Linked DNA regions of Coturnix japonica. The protein of the gene in region 1 purifies or fractionates together with the protein of each later gene. This does not show direct contact. Links are inferred from orthologs where the notes say so. Each region holds a gene or a part of one and is shown on either strand. Other genes may lie near its edges. The genes, in order: STXBP4 and PLK1.

Region 1 (3,813 bases):
GAAGTACCTTTTCACTTCCCTCTCCAAGAGCCTTTCCCTCACCATGGGCCCACTGACGGTTCCTTTGCTACTTAAGACTGTGAAAACATCATTTGTCATCTGCAGGGCCCACCTTTTCTTGCTGATGAGTCACAGCGGCAGGGAAGTCCTGCAGAAGCAGCAGTAGGTTTGATCTCTGCAGGTACGGATTCGAACTAATAAGAAATCCCCCAACTTATTTCAAGGAAGGGGAATTGCTTTGAGCCACGTGCGGGGGGGACGCGTTGGCTGCGCTGTGCCTGTGAGCAGCAGTCGGTCTGTCTGCCTGTTTGCACTGCACGCCTCCTGGTGCTGTGCTGACAGCTGGCAGCAGGAGCTGCTGCCCAACAGAGACCCAGCTTTCGGGTCGCCTGTGTTCCCAGGTGCAGATGACAGTCATGTAGAATGCATCAGCCTCGCCTAATGCTGCCTGTGCTTCTAAAAGAAAAATGCATATACTTGATGTCAAACTAAAGGCTATTTAAATGTATCTTTTATCAGTTTTAATGGGAAGGTCTTTATATAAAACCTCTGTCTGGAACTGGGCAGGAAAATTAAGAACAGCACTTATTTGTAGAGCAGTAACAGCAAAGTGTGTAGCAACATCATTGGAAGGACTTCACCTCCTGCAGAAGAGATGGGAACAGTTAACAGCTTTGGATGCATGTCTATAAGGCCTCTCAATCCATTGGATTTGAAGTAATCGTGGAATTAGTGATGTAATTTATTGGGAGTATCGTCTCTCTATAAAAACGTGATGTAAAAATCAGGAATGGATCCACTGACTGGGAACCCTCACAGGTAGCCCTGACACAAGCCACCATGCTTTTAAGCTAAATTTGCACTTAATCACAAAGAGTTTGTTTTTTAGCAGGAGTTGCAACTTTTCAATTGAGTTGTGTCATCTACAGGAAGCCAAGGCAGCTGTAGAGGAGACCAGAGCCCTGCGAAGCAGGATTCATCTTGCAGAAGCTGCACAGAGACAGGCGCGCGGGATGGAGATGGACTATGAAGAAGTGATTCGCCTATTAGAAGCTGAAATAGTGGAGCTGAAGGCTCAGCTCTCTGATCACTGTGGCCAAAATAAAGTAAGCAAAGCAGTCTCCTGTCATAGTTACCATGGTTTCCTTGCTGTTGTCATGTATCTTGTTTTCATTTTCTGTTCATCTGCTTTTCTAAAGTAGGTCACTGTTTGTCTTGTATTATTCAATAACTGGAATGATGTGTAGTGAAGGGGATAATGTGAAGTGCATGAGTCTTCCTTTATCCAGATATCTTTGGGCTGCAAAAACAGGAGCTGGAAGCACATGTGGGCCATAGGTCACCATGACACATCTCAAGCGTTAGAGCAGGGATGGTTTCTGCTCTGTAGCCAGCAGCTGGGAGGATGATGCACACATCTGTGTGCCTTTGTACATACATAAAGTGACCTGAATATTTTTTATACTTCTGTTAGATTAAAAAGGCTATAAAATCCAGTACTGCTCTTAAGTACATGTGGATTTAATCAAGATAGCAATGCAAATGATGTCAACAGAAGTCTGCCAGTGATATTTCCTATAATTTTTTAATTGAGCCTCATATTTTAAAACACTTTGTTTCCAGTGAATTGTTTCAAAGTCTGCTGGGGAATAAAAATATTGGAGGCACTTTTTAATCTTTTACACGTGGTTCAAACAAGTGCAAACAGGTTGAGGTGTGTGTGTGTTTGCCTTCTTTTTCTCGTGCAAAATAGATGTGCACAAGAATTAATGGTGAAAGAGGCTTAATGAAATGCTGCCGTTTCTCACGGTGAGAATTAATGCAATACTGAAAGGTTTTAATAAGATGAAACTGACCCCTGTGGTGTACGAGTTTATGGAGGAGCAACATAGGAAATGTGTGTAACTCCTAGGGAGAAATCCCCCTCATCTGGTGCTGTGTGTGATGGTCGCAGCCTCTCCAAACATCTGGGTGAAATACCTGCCTGCACAGCTTAAGGCGGTGAGAAACGATGTTTCTGAGCTGAGAATTTGCTCTATGAAACAATATCACAGTGCTCTTTGTTACTGTTTCCATGTATGTAAACAGGAGGCATTACATTTGAAAGCTTTTCTCATGGTGTTGTCATGTTGGCAGTTCCAAGGACTCAGGAGAAAACCCTGAGCTAATGAGCGAGACTCGGCAGAGCTGGGCTCACACTGTCTGCAGCTGGAGGAAGGATGCGTAACTCAGATCAATAGCTTATACAAACGCACGTAGAGAAATCCTGGGGGGTAATTTTCTCCATGATGTGCCATAATTACTCTGCTGGCCAAAGGATGTACAGACGCAAACCGGAGGACCACATCTCCTCACACACTGGCTATTTATGGCACCCTGCTGATAGGCGCTGCCAGCGTCACTTCAGCTTTGTTCATCCGGTCATGAATCAGAACAGACCATCCTAAGTTTGAGGCCATCACTGCTATCAGCTGCCAGTCTGAATTTACCTGGATGTGATATCCAGGAGCTCATTTACTAGCAGCTCAGGCACACCTACCTGAGCAGGTATGGGTAGGAAACATAAGGTGTAAAACATTTCAGACGTCCATTTTAATACATGCCTTTTACCTTTGTGAGCCATTGAAGAAACGATGAAAATAAAAGCCTTAAACCAGATTGTACCAAACATCTTTTCCAGGATAACATCCAAGATTTGAGAAAGAGGGTGACTGTTCTGGACTGTCAGCTGCGGAAATCGGAGTCGGCAAGGAAGAGCTTTGAGGTGGCTACTGAAAAACTGCTACAGTTCGTGGAGGTAACTGTGACTCTGCACTGTTCTGTTTGGAAAAGCTGTTTATGTTGATGTTGCTGAGGAGTAAAACTGAATGGAACATGTAGTTTGCAGAAGCCCTTCCCTAGAGGTCATCAGTCCTCCCTCTCCCCACAGCACTGGCATTGCCCACTTGGGTTCTTAGTATCTTCACAAATGGGGACTCCACAGCTTCCATGGCAGCCTGCTCCAACATGCAGCGGCGCATCCTGTCATCGTGTAGGAGAAGATGGTTGCAGTCATGAATTCCAGTCATTATTTTAATATAATTAATAATTATTTTTAATGTGACCAGTCCATTTATCTTTTTGAAGGTTAAAGTGTTTGTTGAACAATTTGTCAATGTGGCCGCATTGCCATGAATTAACGTGTTATGTACATTAACGTGACCCTTCGTAGACTGTTCTGGAAATACTAATGAAATCAATATTTGCAAGAATAAAAGGCAGCTGTGAATAATTCACTAGGTATGAAGTACTGGGAAAATGAGAATAGCCATGAAATTGGCTTTGTAAATATGTTCTCTAGGAACTCATTCCATATCATTTTGTAACTTCTGATGATAGATTTTGTAGCTGTTACTTCTCTTCATCTCACTGGAAGACTGTAGATTCTTTAAAGTACAGATCAGAGCCCATGTGCCAAAGCTATGACCTTCCTGACGGTGCTGATTTATGAGGTGTTAACTTCTCACTGTGGCCAACAGGTTGTGCACGAAATGCTCTCGGAAAACTCTCCTTCCTCAGCTGTTCTAAGGTAAGCAGATCTGAGCTGTTATTCACATGAATGTTGAAAACTTTTGTCCCTAGAAGTTGCCTTGTATGCATTTTTTCCTATAGTTTTCTGTTGTATGTTTCTGAATGCCATTATACTCAATGTGGGGATGGGAATTTAAATATCATGTTTTATTTGAACTTTCCTAAAAGCCTTTGTTGTACAGACAGAACAAATTCTGAGACAAACATATGCAGGATGATATTAATCACTTTTGTTCATAGAAC
Region 2 (4,491 bases), on another chromosome or scaffold:
TGAGGGAAAAGAATCATCAAGGAGGCTGGGTACAATCACATCCACCTGGTGATATGGCACCTTGGTGGCAGAGGGGGGAAGAAACTGAAGAATATGCCAACAAAAATGGGTGGATTCTGCACAATAAAGAAGTGTCACATTCTTGGGTCAGTGTGGAAATGTATTTTATAAGCCAAACGTTGTCACGTGGAAGCATCACAACAGGCTGTGTGGAAAAACACATCGAGCATGAATTCCCTGCACATAGTGAAGTGTGGCAGTGTGAAAAGCTGCTCACAGCCCACAGGGAGAGGGAGGAGATGGATAAATCCCATTGCGTGATCCCTGCAGCAGCTTCAGCCCCGCACTGAGCGGGGACACCCACAGCTTCATCAGTGCTCAGAGCCCCATCCAGCCTGACCATGGGTGTCTGCAGGCACCACCACCTTTCCGTGCACCCTGTGCCATTCCTCACCCCCCTCTCTGCAAACAGCTTCTTTACATCCAATTGAAGTTTACATCCCTTTTAAAACCGTTTCCCCTTGTCCTGACGCACAGACCCACCTTTCTTATAGCTCCCCTTCAGCTCGCTCTCCTGTCGCCCCGGAGGGCTGGCAGTGTCCATTAGTTCTCCCGTGTAGGAATCACCCCGCTGCCAGTTCCTGCCCCAGCCGTGCCAATAACCCACTGCGGTGCCGATAACCCACTGCAATGCCAATAACCCACTGCAATGCCAATAACCCACTGGGTGCCAATAACCCACTGCAATGCCAATAACCCACTGCAGTGCCAATAACCCACTGCGGTGCCAATAACCCACTGCAATGCCAATAACCCACTGCGGTGCCAATAACCCACTGCAATGCCAACAACCCACTGCAATGCCAATAACCACTGCAATGCCACAATTAACCCACTGCAATGCCAATAAACCACTGCAATGCCAATAAACCCACTGCGAATGTCAATAACCCAACTGCAGTGCCCAATAACCATGCGGTGCCAATAACCCACTCGGTGCCATATAACCCACTGCAAATGGCCATAACCCAGCTGGGTGCCAATAACCCACTGCAATGCAATAAACCCACTGCAGTGCAATAACCCACTGGTGCCAATAACCCATGCAATTGCCAATAACCCACTGGGTGCCAATCAACCCACTGCAATGCCCATAACCACTGGGTGCCCAATAACCCACTGCAATGCCAATAACCCACTGCAGTGCCAATAACCCACTGGTTGCCATATACCCCACTGCGTTTGCCCATACCCGCCGCGCCGCTCGCTCCTCCCGCCCGCTGGGTGGCGCTGTGCTCCGTCCCCGCCGGTTCCTGTCTCTTTAAGCCGGGCTGTGTCGCTCCGCTCCCATGTTGCTCCGCGGCGGGCGGCGTGGATTTTAAATCCTCCGGACCAATGAGGAGCCGCCGCGGGCGCGTAACGCTCGGGGGCCGCGTTTGAATCGGTCTGAGCGCCGCACATAGAGACACAGCGACACAGCGCGTCCCGCACGGCTCCGCTTCGGGGTTCGGATCCGGTTCGGTTCCGCCTCATTCGGCTTTGACTGCAGTTCTCAGCTCGGACAGCGGCACCATGAACGCGGCGGGCGGCAAAGCCCGACCGGTGGCTGCGGTGGAACCGGCCCGATCGGGTGGAGCGACGGCGGCTGCGGGTAAAGAGGTTCCGAAGGTTCTGCTGGACCCGCGGACCAGGCGCAGTTACGTGCGGGGCCGGTTCCTGGGCAAGGGCGGCTTCGCTCGGTGCTACGAACTGACCGAGAACGAGAGCAGGGAGGTGTTCGCTGGGAAAGTGGTGCCCAAATCGCTGCTGGCCAAACCGCACCAGAAGGAGAAAATGTCGATGGAGATCGCCATCCACCGCAGCCTGGCGCACCAGCACGTCGTGGGCTTCCAGGGGTTCTTCGAGGACAGCGATTTCGTCTACGTGGTGCTGGAGCTGTGCCGCCGCAGGGTGAGGGCGGGGGGTGCGGGTGGGGGCTGAGCGGGATGGGAGCTGGGTGACCAACACCCCGACCAACACCCCATCACCGTGACCAACACCCCCATCCCTATGTGCTCTTATCCCCGAGTGTTCTTATCCCTATGTGCTCTTATCCCCGTGTGTTCTTATCCCTATGTGCTCTTATCCCCGTGTGTTCTTATCCCCGCAGTCACTGCTGGAGCTGCACAAGCGGCGGAAGGCGCTGAGCGAGCCCGAGGTGCGTTATTACCTGCGGCAAACCATCCTGGGCTGCCAGTACCTGCACAGCCAGCGCGTCATCCACCGAGACCTCAAGCTGGGAAACCTCTTCCTTAGCGATGACATGGAGGTGAAGATCGGTAGGTGTCGGGGTGCGGTGCCTGCAGGACCCCCATGGCTGTCCCACCCCACCTGGGTTCTCTCATTGCTCCCATCTCTGTGTCTCCCCAAGGTGACTTTGGCTTGGCCACCAAAGTGGAGTATGATGGTGAGCGCAAGAAGACCCTGTGTGGGACCCCCAACTACATCGCCCCAGAGGTGCTGGGCAAGAAGGGGCACAGCTTTGAAGTGGATGTGTGGTCCATTGGCTGCATCATGTGAGTCAAAGTGTCTCCTGCAGGGCTGTGAGGTCCCTGTGCCCCACATCCTGTTGGCCCCTGTGAGGTTCTGGTGTATCCTGCAGCTATGGATGTGCTGTATCCAGCACACTGCCATGGCTGCTGGCACCTGACCTCCCTGGTGCTCTGGGGGAGGGAGGGGAATAAATCTAACACACTTCCATGTCTACAAACACACAGGTATACTCTGCTGGTGGGGAAACCACCTTTTGAAACCTCTTGTCTCAAAGAAACATACCTCCGAATCAAGAAGAATGAGTATACTATTCCCAAGGTAAAGTACTTCTCATGGGTGGGTCTATTCATCTTGCAGCCGTTCTTGTACCATCCCATTTCTGGCACTCAGTGGGCTCTCACATAATAGTGAAGCAGCTATTATCACAGTGAGATGGGAAGGGGCTGTATCAATCAGTGGCAGAGTGAACCTGTATGGTTCTGTCTCCCAGGCTTATGTCCTGCTTGCCTGACCCAGAGCTGTGCTCTGAGCAGAACCTGTTGTATTATACAGAGCAGATGCCACTAATGTGTGCTTGTCCTTCTGCTTGACTCACAACTCTGCCTGTCTCCTCCTAGCACATCAACCCTGTAGCTGCTAACCTCATTCAGAAGATGCTGAGATCTGACCCTGCCACGCGCCCAACTATCAATGAGTTGCTGAACGATGAGTTCTTCACATCAGGGTACATCCCCAGCCGCCTGCCCACCAGCTGTCTCACTGTTGCACCTCGGTTTTCAATCGCTCCCAGCACACTTGAACTGAATGGGCGAAAGCCACTGACGGCACTCAACAAAGGTAAGAGGAGGCGTCTGGAAGTGAGGGCTGAGGACTGCAGCACTGGATGAGTGCCTGCCTGGCCTCTAGCAACACACAGACCCATCTGTGGGGAATATAGTGCTGCCTCACCTACTCTCCCAGTTCTCATGATAACTAGAACATATCGTGTCTGGGAGTTCTCCTTGTTCTTTGTCCAGAACCAAAGCAGGGAGCAGTTCAGCTATGAGGTGCATAATGTGTTTCTTATAACTAGGGTAGCATGTAAATTGGTGCTTTTAGAAACTTGCTGCTCATGTTTCTGCAATCTTCTCTTTTTTTTCTGGCCCAGGACCAGAAAGCCCTGCATTAGAAAACCTGCCTGAAAAGGAAGATGCAGCTGGGCTGCGGGAGGTGGGAGACAGCATTGAGTGTCACTTAGCAGACATGTTACAGCAGCTGACTGCAGTCAACTCAGCCAAACCCTCTGAGAGAACTGCAGTGAGACAAGGTGAGTCTGGGGACAATCCCACAGGCACTGACATTTTTGGACAACTTGCTTCTGTCATTGATGCCTCTTGGCTGAACTGAGGGACCAACTGACCTCAGCTTCAACCTGAAAGGCAGAAAAGCAATGTGGAAGCTACTTACCTTCCTCTTGGCCTTGCTTGCTGTGCTGCACAGCATGCCTTAAAATGTCTTCTAACAAACTCCTTTTCTCCTTGCAGAAGAAGCTGAAGACCCAGCCTGTATTCCCATCTTTTGGGTTAGCAAATGGGTGGACTACTCGGATAAGTATGGTCTAGGTAAATAACATGATGGCAGTACTTCAGCCTTTTCTAGCTCCTAAAGCAGCTGGTAGAAGTCCTGATCTGTGCTCAGTGTAGATTTAGTTCTTAAATCATGATCAGTGTTTGCATTCAAGAGTATCACCGGGAGCACCATCAAACACTAAGTGAACACAGAGTAATGGCCACTGAATATCTACCCTGGCCACATTAAGGATGCAGGCAGCAGGACCCTGTGGATCCAAAGTGGCTAATGTGTGTACTCAGTGTAGGAGTTGAAGTTGCTTATGCAGCAGATAATGCAGCAAAGGAGGGTGACAAACCCAGAGGAGAAAAAAGTGCCATCTCGACCTCTGTTAAAAGGAGGATCTTTAAA

Evidence for each region.
Region 2: the proteins of STXBP4 (region 1) and PLK1 purify together in Homo sapiens (affinity purification with mass spectrometry; 3 studies listed by BioGRID and IntAct, counting the BioPlex papers as one, with this or other methods). This does not show direct contact. The link is inferred for Coturnix japonica from reciprocal best matches to the Homo sapiens genes STXBP4 and PLK1.

The regions. Positions count from the first base shown.
Region 1 is NC_029533.1:8,101,507-8,105,319, reverse strand, and holds part of STXBP4 (syntaxin-binding protein 4), read left to right. Parts: intron 1-929; coding exon 930-1,106; intron 1,107-2,680; coding exon 2,681-2,797; intron 2,798-3,518; coding exon 3,519-3,568; intron 3,569-3,813. UniProt on the Homo sapiens protein: Plays a role in the translocation of transport vesicles from the cytoplasm to the plasma membrane. Inhibits the translocation of SLC2A4 from intracellular vesicles to the plasma membrane by STX4A binding and preventing the interaction between STX4A and VAMP2.
Region 2 is NC_029529.1:6,809,649-6,814,139, forward strand, and holds the start of PLK1 (serine/threonine-protein kinase PLK1), read left to right. Parts: upstream 1-1,390; 5' UTR 1,391-1,572; coding exon 1,573-1,950; intron 1,951-2,149; coding exon 2,150-2,318; intron 2,319-2,410; coding exon 2,411-2,555; intron 2,556-2,756; coding exon 2,757-2,850; intron 2,851-3,149; coding exon 3,150-3,369; intron 3,370-3,679; coding exon 3,680-3,838; intron 3,839-4,055; coding exon 4,056-4,133; intron 4,134-4,491. UniProt on the Homo sapiens protein: Serine/threonine-protein kinase that performs several important functions throughout M phase of the cell cycle, including the regulation of centrosome maturation and spindle assembly, the removal of cohesins from chromosome arms, the inactivation of anaphase-promoting complex/cyclosome (APC/C) inhibitors, and the regulation of mitotic exit and cytokinesis.